Arabidopsis thaliana: one gene and its partners. The main gene of each other region encodes a partner of the protein of the gene in region 3 in a complex. Each region holds a gene or a part of one and is shown on either strand. Other genes may lie near its edges.

Evidence for each region.
Region 1: AT5G19480 (region 3) and AT3G52860 share a complex: the UniProt entries of both Arabidopsis thaliana proteins name them as parts of the mediator complex.
Region 2: AT5G19480 (region 3) and GCT share a complex: the UniProt entries of both Arabidopsis thaliana proteins name them as parts of the mediator complex.

The regions. Positions count from the first base shown.
Region 1 is NC_003074.8:19,591,188-19,594,640, forward strand, and holds AT3G52860 (mediator of RNA polymerase II transcription subunit-like protein), read right to left. Parts: upstream 1,582-3,453; 5' UTR 1,555-1,581; coding exon 1,335-1,554; exon of another isoform or gene 1,145-1,334; coding exon 1,029-1,144; intron 946-1,028; coding exon 811-945; 3' UTR 661-810; downstream 1-660. Other genes in the region: VSR1 (vacuolar sorting receptor homolog 1), read left to right, coding at 1-103, 196-308, 408-503; AT3G52870 (IQ calmodulin-binding motif family protein), read right to left, coding at 2,178-2,618, 2,725-2,826, 2,955-3,047, 3,145-3,291, 3,378-3,453. UniProt on the Arabidopsis thaliana protein: Component of the Mediator complex, a coactivator involved in the regulated transcription of nearly all RNA polymerase II-dependent genes.
Region 2 is NC_003070.9:20,635,460-20,640,539, reverse strand, and holds the start of GCT (RNA polymerase II transcription mediator), read right to left. Parts: upstream 3,161-5,080; 5' UTR 2,947-3,160; coding exon 2,923-2,946; intron 2,842-2,922; coding exon 2,768-2,841; intron 2,675-2,767; coding exon 2,535-2,674; intron 2,449-2,534; coding exon 2,362-2,448; intron 2,201-2,361; coding exon 2,113-2,200; intron 2,024-2,112; coding exon 1,946-2,023; intron 1,699-1,945; coding exon 1,621-1,698; intron 1,532-1,620; coding exon 1,452-1,531; intron 1,199-1,451; coding exon of another isoform or gene 1,144-1,198; intron 1,048-1,143; coding exon of another isoform or gene 1,013-1,047; coding exon 934-1,012; intron 825-933; coding exon 498-824; intron 257-497; coding exon 197-256; intron 1-196. Other genes in the region: AAE18 (acyl-activating enzyme 18), read right to left, coding at 3,881-3,997, 4,091-4,300, 4,394-4,492, 4,585-4,710, 4,787-5,003. UniProt on the Arabidopsis thaliana protein: Component of the Mediator complex, a coactivator involved in the regulated transcription of nearly all RNA polymerase II-dependent genes.
Region 3 is NC_003076.8:6,569,547-6,574,174, forward strand, and holds AT5G19480 (mediator of RNA polymerase II transcription subunit), read left to right. Parts: upstream 1-1,954; 5' UTR 1,955-2,281; coding exon 2,282-2,309; intron 2,310-2,397; coding exon 2,398-2,690; intron 2,691-2,838; coding exon 2,839-3,042; intron 3,043-3,151; coding exon 3,152-3,211; intron 3,212-3,344; coding exon 3,345-3,383; 3' UTR 3,384-4,077; downstream 4,078-4,628. Other genes in the region: AT5G19473 (RPM1-interacting protein 4 (RIN4) family protein), read left to right, coding at 1-228, 1,084-1,134; AT5G19485 (transferases/nucleotidyltransferase), read right to left, coding at 4,361-4,426, 4,520-4,628. UniProt on the Arabidopsis thaliana protein: Component of the Mediator complex, a coactivator involved in the regulated transcription of nearly all RNA polymerase II-dependent genes.

The sequences.
Region 1 (3,453 bases), on a different chromosome or scaffold from region 3:
GTGTGCCAGTGCCCAGAGTGTAAATGTAAAAACACTTGGGGAAGTTATGAATGCAGCTGCAGCAACGGTTTGCTTTACATGCGTGAGCACGACACTTGCATAGGTAAAAGAAATAGATCTTCCTTCCTCCTAGCCCCATACTTAATTTGGAGTCATTAATCAGACTTTCTGCTTTTGAATCTGGTGAATGTGTAGGTTCAGGCAAAGTTGGAACCACAAAACTCAGCTGGAGCTTTTTGTGGATCCTTATAATCGGGGTGGGTGTTGCAGGTCTTTCTGGATATGCAGTCTACAAATACAGAATCAGGGTATACGATGTTCTTTACTCTGGTCTTGTTATCATATTAAAACATAGGAAGATTTTGCGGTCTAGATAGAGATGCTAAGTAACAATTGAAATTATGCAGAGTTACATGGATGCGGAAATTAGAGGGATCATGGCACAGTACATGCCATTGGAAAGTCAACCACCCAACACAAGTGGTCACCATATGGATATATGAGTGAAGTTATCAACACAAGCCAAGAGACTCTCTCTCTTTCTATGAGTAGCTTTAAGTTTCCATGTAAATGAATCAATGGACTTGATACAACTCTAGAGAAAAGAAAAAAGCCACAAACAGAAATAAGTGTACCTGCACTATTTGTAAGAAATGTGGATTTGCAGATGGAATCTCCTTTTTGTCTGCATATTACTCTTACAATGTAAAATAGACATAACTGGATGAATAATGAGTGTTACATTATTTACTGTTGAAACTAACTTAAGATCCATAAGAAGAAAAACAATAAACTTTGATTGAGAGATTGTTAAACTTTCTCCAGCTCATCTCTGTGTTTCTCAATCTGTTCTTTCACAAGCTTCTGCGACTCTTGGAAAAGCCTCATGTGCTTCTTTATAAGCTCATCTTTTGTCTTAAGCTCTTCCTCCATTACTGCAATATCCTGTTAAGAACAGAACAGAAGAGAGCAGAAACTGGTAAGACAATATGTGTTTGGAGTTTTCACATTGGTAAATCAAACCACACCTTCTTAAGGCTTTCAGCTCTCGAGGGCGCGCGATCTTCTCGCTTTAGTCCCATGAAGTAAAGCTGAAGCTTTTTCGCAGCTTCCATGAAATCTCTGGCGTGCCGCTCCACATCAACTGCAGCAGTTCAATGAGGGGAATTAAGCTAGAACATCGAATATGGAATCAAAGCTTCGGTTTCAACTGAATTCTAAGCACAAAATTCACTGAGATCATAAGTTAAGCACAAAAACAAACACAACTTCCAAACTATCATTCAAACTAAAACCCTAGAATGGTGAAATTGGAGAGTAGAAAAGGGACTGACTTTGATGAGAAGGGTGAGGAGAGCGATCGATGGCCTGAAGCTCTCTCGCCGGCAAACATGGTAACAGAGCAGCTTCCAAGGCTGTGACGCAAGCCATAATGTCCTCTATGTCATTATTCTGATTGTTCGAGGGGGTCTCCGGTGATCTGATTCCCGGTGGACGGTCAGGCGGTGACGGCGAAGGGTCAGAAGACTGCGGCGGCTTTTGCTGATAATCCATTCACGCCGATCTCGATCTCTCTTTCTCTCTGCTTGTTTGTTTGCCCATAAGGTTTAGTGAAAAATATTATAATGGGGGCCCATTTACTGGATTTAATTTGGGCTTATTGGGCCTTTTCCACATTCTTAATTGTTCTTAAGAATATCATTTTGATGTAATTAATTGAAAACACTGAAAATTCATTTTTAATAAATATATGAAGTAAATCATTTATTTCATATGAAAAAACAATAGTAAGGAGAAGGAACAACATTTTCTGATACTTTACTCTTGATTTGATGTCACAAGATATAACAGATGATGGCTTTTGTAACAAATTTTGATTCCTTATGTAACTTTTTATCTCCATCAAATTAGATAAGTTACATCCTTACTTAAAGATTTTTTAGCTATGGATTTTCTAATGAAATTTGTAAAATGAGTAAGCGATTGACTAAATACTGTAACCATTCTCTTCATTATCAGTGAAAATAGCTTTTAACACATCTCTCATTCTCTTCCTTCTGATTCACAATCATCCATGTGAAAAGATGACAACAAAAACCTTAGATAGAGAACTCACACATTAGTTACAGAAGAAAGATTCTCATTTACTACTACATAAGGAAGTACGGAACATATGATCAGACATCAAGCTTCCCGGTCGGAGAAAGTCTGCTACTCCGGTATTTAGGAGACAAGTTAACAAACTCCAAAGCCTGTGTTCTGAGCTGAACCGGATAATCAGCTGCACAACCGATTCTTGGACCAACTCCTGTCGACCATTTCAGTGACAACTGATGTCCCAATTGTAATGATCTTGACTGTTTCTTTGAGTTTATCCTTAGTAGCATAGATTTCTGCGGCACGTTAGCTTTTGGACTCCCAAGTCCACCTGAGAGTGTTCTCTGGTAGCTACTCCGTTTTGCCTCCTCAAGTGTTCCCACTGTTCCGTTACCGTTCTCATCTGTTTCAGTCTCTGCTTGGAATGTTGTGTCCTCTTTCTTTAACGGTTCCGGTTCAGATCCTCCGTTGGATTTAACATAATCATCGTAGCTGTCAGAATCTTCACTAGCTTTATGCACCTACACATACATAGATATATTAGCTCTCAAGTAGTCTCTTTTTCTAAACAACCAAACTCTAGTTAATGATATCATTCACCAGCCAAGATTAGAACAAGGGCATTACCTCAACATTGTCTAGGTTCACTGCGTTCTCTCTGAGAAACCCGAGAAATGTGTCGAGACTATCGTCTGACGGCCTGTAATGTCCGCTATATGCAGAGATTGTCTGAGATTAAACCGAAAACAGAACGATCAAACAGAGAAATCACAGAAGGCAGACATAATAAAAAAGTTGATATGAATGAACATGTATCTCAACCACTCTAAGAAAAGGACGTGGCCTTAGTAAGTTACCTTGAGAACTCCATTGTCAACAATCACCCTCCCAGCAGCTAATGTAGCTCCTCCAGCCAAAAAGCTTGAGTGATGGAACCTTCCTTTCTTTTTCTGAAGTAAACATAAACAAAGAAAAGAACCATTAGAATCTTTTTCAATACTAATATCAATTCATCACCAATAGAAAGATATAACGGTTTTAACTTACCAGACCGGCATAGAGTTTCTTGAAAGTACTCATAACAAAGATCCATTTTGTTCCTTCCGATCCATGCATTGTGTGTAAGAACTTTCCAGTTAACTTGTGAACAATCTTCCCTTCTATGATCACATACTCATACTCTTCCCTCTCTTGCTGATACCAGAAAAGGCTTATATGAGAGAAATCCCAAAAACAAGTAAAACCAATATTGACATAAGAGAGGAAAAAATGGCACATACAGGTCCAAGATATCTAATGCATTGCTGCTTAAGCTTTGACCTCGGACATTCGTTAAGATCCAAATCTATCCCTCCT
Region 2 (5,080 bases), on a different chromosome or scaffold from region 3:
TAATGAAAAACAAAATCGTTACGTATAACATTGGAACAAAACTCGGAAATGCCACAGCTCTCACTCCTATGGTGCTTCAAATAATGAAGATTACAAAACATTCGGTTTCTCAGAACAGTTTGGGCATTTCAAGACCTCTGTTTTGTGGATTTCTTTTGATCTTCAAATGTCGACGAGATAGATGAAAAAGACTCACCAGTGCATAAACAAAGATGAGCCTGCTAGTGACGGGCCTATCCAGTTTTGAAGCCAAAATCTGCAAGTATGATTTCACCTTGCATCAGCTCCAAGCTGAGGAAAGATCACAACTATTACATCTATTTAACATGGGTCTGAAACAATTACTAAAACTTCCACTACGATCACACAGAGTCAATTTGTTTTAATACATACATGGAATTCAACAGAAACGAAATAAATTTTATGTATAGCCAATCTGGATCTTACCGTTAAGTACTCAATGAATTCTAAATAACCACCTCACCTAGTCAATTTACCTTTTCAAAGAAAATTTCGCAAATGCCGACTGTAAGATTGGTACAAGCACTGCCTCAGCTGGATAGATGAACTTTTTTTCACAAACTGATGAAAGATCTGATTGTCCTTTACGGTGATCTTTACTCCCAACTGAAGGTTCAGGACACTGGTTATGGGGCAAGTTAACTGCAAAGGTCGAATTAGCTTGACTTGTGTTGTCATTTCTATTTTGGCAGCAACCAAGTGTAACTTCCACGTAGCAATGATTGCCATTTATCAGACGGGACCCACGACCAATATGAGAAGGGAGACCAACATATCCAGTCGAAGTTTTTAAGTTTCCAGAACTGTGTGAGAAAAAAGTATTAGTTGAGAAAATTGGATTAATCAGATTAACGGCTACGCACTCACAAAAAATGTTGACTTGGCATTCGAAAGCAAAGGTATGAAATGTACCTGAAGTAGACTTGCTTGACAAGGTCATTGGGACAGAATCCAGTAAGGCTGCCCCGCATTCCATGAGGAGAAACAATAACTGGTGGGAATAACATAGGCCTGTGAGAAGTGTTTCTATCAAATAAAAAGCTCTTATCTTTCTTTAAGCATGTGTAGAAGGCGGATTTCATTTCAGGTATCAATTCAAAAAGTTTGGCTTCATAGAATTACATGTAGCATAATCTATTATCCTCACTCTTGGCCAATCCCAAACATTTACGAAAAGCTCTTGTGACATGCAAAAAAATGAGGTGTTAAATCTTTGCTTGATGAAGCTAGGTAGCAGTAGCACTAGACTACACTAGGTTTCTTTTTGGAGTGGATGCATTGAAAATTGAGTTCAAAATGCTCTCAATCTATACAGTATTCTAACAGTACAAAGCAAGAAGAGGTCAACAAACATCTAGAACTAGTTCCATCAAAATCGTAGACAAGTAGGATAATTTATCAATCCAAATGATGATGGAAAAATAACTAACCTGGAAGCCTATAACTGGAGTTTTTCAAAGAACTCCTTAACATTCTTTCAGCATCGCCACTTGAAAGTGTGCGGACATTCCTTCGTGCATAAAATATTATAGTTAGTTTCAATAACTATGTGAAGCACTAAACCATAACTGAAACAGTATAACAAAAAGCTTTACGGACTTGGCAGATATAATGACATGGACAAAAACTGCCTCTTCGGTAGCAGCAAAGATGAATTCAACAGTAGGCTGTCCCCTCCTACATAAATATCCACAGAGCATTAGCGAGCCACAGAGCATTAGCGAGCCACAGACCTAATCATAGAATTCTTTGGATTCTAAGAATTACACTCAGGAAACCTAGGTCTCACAGACCCTATTTAATGAAAGCTATAGGATAATACATAATCGAAAAGCCATAGAGAAAAAAGACGATATATTTGCTAATAAACCATCAGAGATTATAACGCATGGTCTCGCTTATATTGGTAAGAGGTTGCAGATACCTCAAATATTCTTCGCTTTGAGGGCTGAATTTTGAAAACACATCTCCAAATCTCATGTAGGAAATTCCAGATAATGCTCTGTGGCGATATCAAACAAGTTAATATGATACTCTAATCCATTATTTCCTTAATCCAACCATTATGTCTGCAGATAATAAAAAACTAACCTTTCGATGCAATTACGTAAAGACTGTGAAAAGGCAACTGATATCTCTTCAGAGTCCCCAGGTGCTACCCAAATTCCTGACGCAACAACTTTCAACAGGAGAAAAAGAAAAGTAAGGACAAGTATACCAAGATAACCATAGACCACAGGCATGTTCACTAAACAGTCATAATCAGAATAGAGACAATATGTTTGAATCTATTGAGGCGACAAAATACGATGAAGAAAATAAATCATAAGGAGAATATACCTCTAAGCTTTGACACAGCAGCCTGAGCTTTATCAGATATTGATGAATGACGCCCAGGTAGAAAAAGCCAAAGCTTAATCTTTTCATCTGAGCAGCAGCGAGGAATGATGGTTAGATACAACTGTAAATAAAGTTACAAAATTTAAAAGTACCAGATTGAGATTTAGCATTACCAGGGTTGTATAAACCTTGAGATGGATCCCAAGGTCCAACAAAAGAATTGGTCCAAGTGGTAAGAAACCCTTCCTTCTGCAACCGTAGATGAGAGGAAAGTACAAGATATGTTGCAACTTCATTCTGCTCAGCTCTTGAACTGAAAAAAAAACTCCAGAGTGACCAGACTAATTAGTACAATGTCAATAAGGAAAAACTAAAACAACCCATTGAAAAAGCTTAAAGCTTTAACCTTCTATCAAAGCCAGGATTCAGCTCAGTTTCACTTGGAAGAAACTGAAACCAAGAAACATTATGTAGACCACCCTGTAGAAGAAAAATCATCATGTATTACCAATAAGTCAATTTTCACACACAATGGGAAAAAGATGATAGAATAAGACTTACAATTCTGAAAACATTAGTCCACATCACTTGGGGATAGATACAACAAGTTCAATCCTTTTTTTTCTTCAAATTATAGGCTATAACCCCAAAATCATCGTCTTGAAGCGCTCGGAATTGGAAGACGTTGTCAATTTCTAGCTCGATCTTCTCTTGATGTTGCGAGGTTTATATCTCTCTTTTGATCAAAACTCTTCAATACATCATAATCATCTCAACACGAAATCTCTCGTGGTTTTCATAAAACCAGATCCAAACGCGCTCTTTAGGGTTCTTTTTTTTTTGTTGCTCTTACTAATTCTTTTTTTTTCTGTGGCCCAATTTGTTTTAGTCAGGCCCAATTCATTATTTTCACAACACTCTGGTTCAAAAAAAAAAACCGCCAACCACAAGCATCATAAAAGAGTTTCCTCCAAATAAGGTGTTTAATATCAAGTGTTTTTGAAGTTTTGGTATTAAGATCTCATTCTTTCGAGTTTGTTTGACTTGCATCAATCAAATGAACCAAACAATGCTATGGTTTTACTTTATATTTTCTAGATTTTGTATACCACGATATAGCTAGACCTCGAATGATCTTAACGCTATCTTTGTATCGTTGGGTGCGGCTAGTTGTCTTCTGGTTCCATAGGTCATTCGTGGTGATACTATTCAGATGTCTCAAAGCCTTATGGGATGTATGAGTATCGTCCGAAATATTTTTACAAATTTAAACAAAAGATAATCTTGAGGAAAATTAAGATTATAATCTGATATGAAATATATACACCAAACACAAACACAAACATAACAAAGTCAAAGTGTTTAGTCATGTAAATGTGAATCAGGCTAGAGAATTCAAGGACCGGTAGATTTGATTTAATCGGTTTTCTTATTTGGACCGAGCAGTACCCAATCATGTGTAGATCAACTACTACTCAGCAGATCTTATTTTATTCTAGTTAAACTTAAGATCAAGGCTTTATATTCGACTTCGTAAGGATAGTAGTTCTTGCTTAATCTGATCTCTCAAGACTCTTCTCAGTAGCTTGCTAGAAGCTGTTCTTGGAAACTCCGGCACAATCTTCACAAAACTCACCTGCAATATTTTTGCAAAATCCATTTTTAAGCACACAAAAAATCTTATAATAACTTTGAATTTATAGAAAAACTCATCAAAGATATTGATTACCTTGAAGAGAGGATTAAGATCTTTTTGAATGGTTCTTGAAAATTTCATCTTTAGCTCTTCTCCACTCTGTTGCTTGAACCCTTCTTTCAAGACTGCGAATATGACCAGCAACTCTGGACCACCGTTAGGTGGTGTTAAGGTGACTGCAGCTGTCTCAGAGATGCACTCATCAGCTTGATCACACACACGTTCGATCTCAATAGAACTCGTCTGCGTTATAACAGATAAACAAAAGATGAAAACTTGAGAAAAGTTCCAACTCTAATCGAAGTTGGGTATATAGACATACAATGTATGTAGTACCTTAATGCCTCCAAGGTTCATGGTATCATCAGCTCTACCTTGAACATTGTAATATCCTCCAACAGTTCGCTTCACAATGTCACCGTGTCTTCTAAGTCGCTGCAGAACGCAACAGAACAGAGGAATCGTTTAACTGACGTAAGTTTGCAATTTTGTTTAGATGTAAATATAGAAGTTCTAAAACTACTCACTGTTTCCTTATACATGGGCATTCCCTTGAAGTAAACCTCGTCGTGATTTGCATTCAGAAGTCTATCCGTGGCCCCAAGGTGCTGGGGGAACAAACCGACTTCTCCAGTACATGGTTGATCATCCGGCTGCAAAAACCAGTCTACATCAATCTCTGGATATTCTAAGAAAATACTCCAAATGTCTAAAGTTTCAGTTTGTCACATATGGGACGCCATTTTCATCGAAGATGATGATTCTAGTTGTCATGGATGGTGTGCTAAACGCTCCAAAAGCCTGCGGTTGAAGAGGGCTTCCTATGATGTATGACGAAGCAAGTTCCGTGCCTCCACAGCATTCGATCACAGGTTTGTAATCAGCTTTAGAAGAAAGCCAGAGAACATCGTCAACATTGGAAGCTTCTCCTGTAGTGGCGAAAAACCTAACAAAACACAACAGCTTCTAAGTTAAAATTTCTCGTATAAACCCGAAAACAAAACAAGGTTTGTTGCTCCTTAC
Region 3 (4,628 bases):
GCTGCATGGACTCCAGTTCCACAGTTCGGAGGGTGGGACCAAAAAGGACCAAATGATGCTACAAACTACTCGGTTGTCTTTTCTAAAGCTCGCGCAAACAGGAAGCAGAACAAAGCTGGTGTAAGACATTCTAGTTTGGGAAGCGAACAAGAACTCATGGTAAGTGTTCGTCGCAACCACCAACAACTTCACCATCGCCATGAAACTCAAGACGATGACCCTGTCATGGTAATTAAATTATCTCTCTCTACTTACTCTTCCATGGATTCTTTGGTTCATATTCACCTTGTGATGATCCTTTTCCCCTTAGTCAACGCGCATGGATCATCACAAGGTGGTATAACAATTCAGGAATTGATTTTCTCTTTGCGTCTTTTGTTTGTTTTGTGTTTTTGCATGCGCCTAAAAAGAATATTTCATTCCATTTCTTTCTTAACTCAGAGACATAATTGAACCATGAATGTTATTCAACTTAATTATGAGTTAATACATGCATCATAGTATCAGGTCTCATTTATGAATATGTAATGATAGTGTATCTTTAAATTTGATGTTATAGTGTATTGGCTTGCAGTTTGTTTCCATGGTTTTGAAATGATGTGTTTTGTTCGAACAATGAATTTATAGTTCGTTTCCATTTTCCCATTTTCTACTTTCTTTTTATTTGTTAGGAAAACTTTGTTTTTTTTTTTGCATTTTTTCCATAACATTTCAATAAGCAACCATATTTTAACATTATATTCCCACCTAAGCTAAATTTCATTACTTCTATTGTTAGATAAAAATATAATTAAACCAACTAAAAGTCTGAATCATATTATAATCTTTGCATTATGTTTTAACTATATGTTGGGAGTTACATAAATTTGTTTTGCTTGGAGCCTCCAAACTTTGAAGAGGCAAACATGAACGAAATGTACACTGCTTTTCTAGAGCGAATATGAAAACTCCATCTCTAGTTTGTATAACAGTCGAAATCACCTTGTTATACGAAGCATTATGCAATATGTGAAATGTATTAAGAGGAAGCATGTTGTCACCGTCATAAGTCTCTCTAACATTACTAATTTAATTACCATGCAGAAGAAGAAGAGGATCTTGACCTACATTAATTGTTGTATAAGGCCAAACTAGGGCTTTGTTCTTCTACAAAGTCGGAATCTTTCTCTCTTCAGCGATATAGCAAATATGTCTCAAGTGTGTAAAGACAGTAGTGTAACGTTTCTGTAATCTTCTTTATCACACACAAAAAAAAAAAACGTTCTGTTCTATGTGCATCATCTATTAAGATACCCCTGGTTGTGTTGTGTTGTGATACATTTTGACTTCTTCCTACATCATACGAGAACAAAATAAAACATGACTTAACCAAACCGTCAGATGCAGAATCCATTTAACTAATCTTCGATAAATTGAGAATTGTCGGATGATCATAGTTTTAGAAACAAGAGTTAAGAAATCATGCATTGATTGCTGGTACGATTTGGCCATTTGGGTGATTTTAGCTTTGGTTAATCATTCTCCAACTTCAATATAAAGGATCCGAACAATAGCAATGACTAAACGAATCACTTTTTGGCCTTAGCAAATTGGTCTTAATTATTTGGCCACAAATACACATACATATGACCATATGAAAAACAGTGGCTATCTTGCAACTGAGTGCCACCACCTAATCGTGGCCATATCCACTAACAAGTTGACCACCGTCTTAATCGGTGGCTATTGACGATTGCAACAAAAATTATTTGACGGCTATATTAGCATTTTTTTTTTTTTTTAACTATGTGATTAAAAATGCAAATTATAAGAAAATTGAAATTTTTATTAAAATAAAAATACAAATGTAAAAAAAGTCGTTGTGAAATCTGTAAAGTTGATCATACGCACTATGAAGCGCGTGAACCCCACGCGGTAACCCGTATAAATAACAAAATTTTGGACGAAAAAAAAACAGAAGAAGAAGAAAAAGAAATCGCGATTTTATAACGCCATTGTTTGAGGAAACTCCTAATCCATTCTCAAACCCTAGTTACTTCCTTCTCGAACGTTCCTCGATATTCCCGCGGGAAATTCACGACCAAGAGCAATCCGTTTTCCAGATTAGGGTTTATATCTCTGGGTTGCGATGAGATCTGCCTCGTGAAGTCATGTATGGCGGTGATTGATCTTTGCTTCAGCTTTGTTTTCGCTTTTCGTCAAATCTTGAGCTTATTGAGCTTTGGCTTGTTTGGTTTTCAAATTCCAATAATTGCAGTTTAATCAACAACAACAAAAAAATATGGAATCAGAGAGCGTTAAGTTTGGAGGTAAATTTGGTTTCCAAGCTTTGATTTTTGTCAAGTTTTATTATTTTGGGATTTGAGGGTCAATGAGCTTCTGGGTTTCTAAGTGCAGGTCCTAGAGAATTGGGTGGTGCACTAGATCTTATAACACAATACAAGTTGTTGCCACACCATGAATTCTTTTGCAAGAGATCACTTCCAGAGTCACTGTCAGATGCTCATTATCTTCATAATTTGGTTGGAGACACAGAGATTAGAAAAGGAGAAGGAATGCAATTAGATCAGCTTATTCCTAATGCATCACTTAGTAGCCGAGATACGAATGCTCGCATCCAACCTTTTGTTCTTGATGAACTTAAGGAGGCTTTTGAGCTTAATGATACAGCTCCTGTTGAATTGCCTCCAGTAAGAATATTGCTCTCTCTGTTTAGATTTTAACTTCCTGTAACATCTAGATCTTTTACTAACCATGATAAGTTGAATTACTTCCAAGTATCTTGTGATGATAGTTGAGCTAGGTTTGAGAATATGAGATCTCCTGTTCTTATTTCAGGCAGAGAAGGGAGCTCCTACCACTGTATCAAAATCAAAAAGTGAGTCAAAAGATAAGGATAGGAAACATAGAAAACATAAAGACAAGAAGGAGAAAGATAGGGAACATAAGAAGCACAAGCACAAGCATAAAGATAGGATCAAAGATAAGGATAAAGACAAGGATCGAGACAAAAAGAAGGAAAAAAGTGGACACCATGATAAGGTTATAAAACTGTCTGCTCTTGTTGGTACCTAGGCCGTCTATATATGTATATTTTGGATTCTTAAATTCGATAGAATTGACGTGGTATACGCTATCACTTTACTTTCAGAAAAGGAAGAACAATGGGACTGAAGATGCTGATGACGTTCAGAGGCACAAAAAGAGTAAGGTAATATACTAATGGCAATGGAGGCATCTCCTTCTTTTTAGTGAAGCTGAATTTAGAAGTTTCTGGTTACTCGCACATTGGTGTTGCTCTGCAAATTTTATTTTTGTCGGCCCTAAAATTAACTTTTTTGCAGCATAAGAGCTCAAAGCTTGATGAGATGGGAGCGATGTAGGTTGGAGGCTGAAGCCGTGCACACTTTCATTTTTGTATTGCACACCCAAGGTGTCATGGAGAGGCTTAGAAGCAGCTAACTTTGTTAGGTAACTCGGTCACTAGAGTCATCTTCTCATCTTTAGATAACGCACGTTTCTCATATGGGGCTGCGTCTGTCATAACCAACGGTACTGTACATGATGAATATGATTGAGTCAACAAAGCTATGGTTGTTTTAAACATGAAGAAATAATTATTGTCTAAGGCTTATAAGAAGATAACCTGGAACTCTAGCGACCGAGAGTGCACTAACTTTATTTTGGAGTCTCAAATAATTAGAAATGTTTCTATATGGTGTAGATTTGTCTCAACATAACATAAAATGATTTGGATTTGGTTTTGCAGGTTTAATCTCTAAATAAAAATTGCATTGTGGGAGAAGTTAGGAGGGGTTAAGCAACGAAAAGTTCGCCAAGAAGAATCACAACTTGTACATTTTGTTACACTTTAAACAAGCTATGAAGTTTATCTATTCTCGTGACTATTTAAACAGAAAGGTTTCATACATTCGAAATCATTTACTCTGAAATTTATCGAATCTGAAGGCATGTGACTTTTTGGGTGTATTCGTCTCTATGGAAATACCAAAAACAAAATTTAGATCTTTCAGGAAAGTGTTTTATCTCGAACAAAAGAGTAAATAATGAGAAGAACAAAAAAAGACATATGTAATATAACCAACGGAACAGAGAGAAGGGTCAGTGGCTGACAAAGTGTTTCAAGACTTCATGTATATGTAATGAATAGCAAAAGATCAAACTCTATCAGTAAAAGATACTAACGGAAAATCTCAAACTCTTAATCAACAAAACCCTTAGTGGGAAACTTTCCAATCCTTCACACTCTTCTCTCCTACCAAACGAATGACTAAGTAATGCTGCTTTTCATTTTAAAAAAGCGTTCCAAGATGTGACCTCATTTGCTTATCCTTCCTTTTCATTTTCTAGCAAAGGTCTCTCCTTTGTGCTCACTCCCGGCACAAACAACATACCCTGCTTCCACCTATAAAACCAATTGATGTTTTGATTATGGAATCTGTAAAAGCATTGATACGTAGGGGACACTGTATTATGAAAACTGAAGGGGGTAACGTACTTGGCAGTCTCTTAGAGTAACACGCTCTTGAAGCTGTGCGTTGCTGCAAATGACTGAGCCTTGTATTGAACATCCGTCTCCAATTGTGGCATGGTCCATCACAACTGAA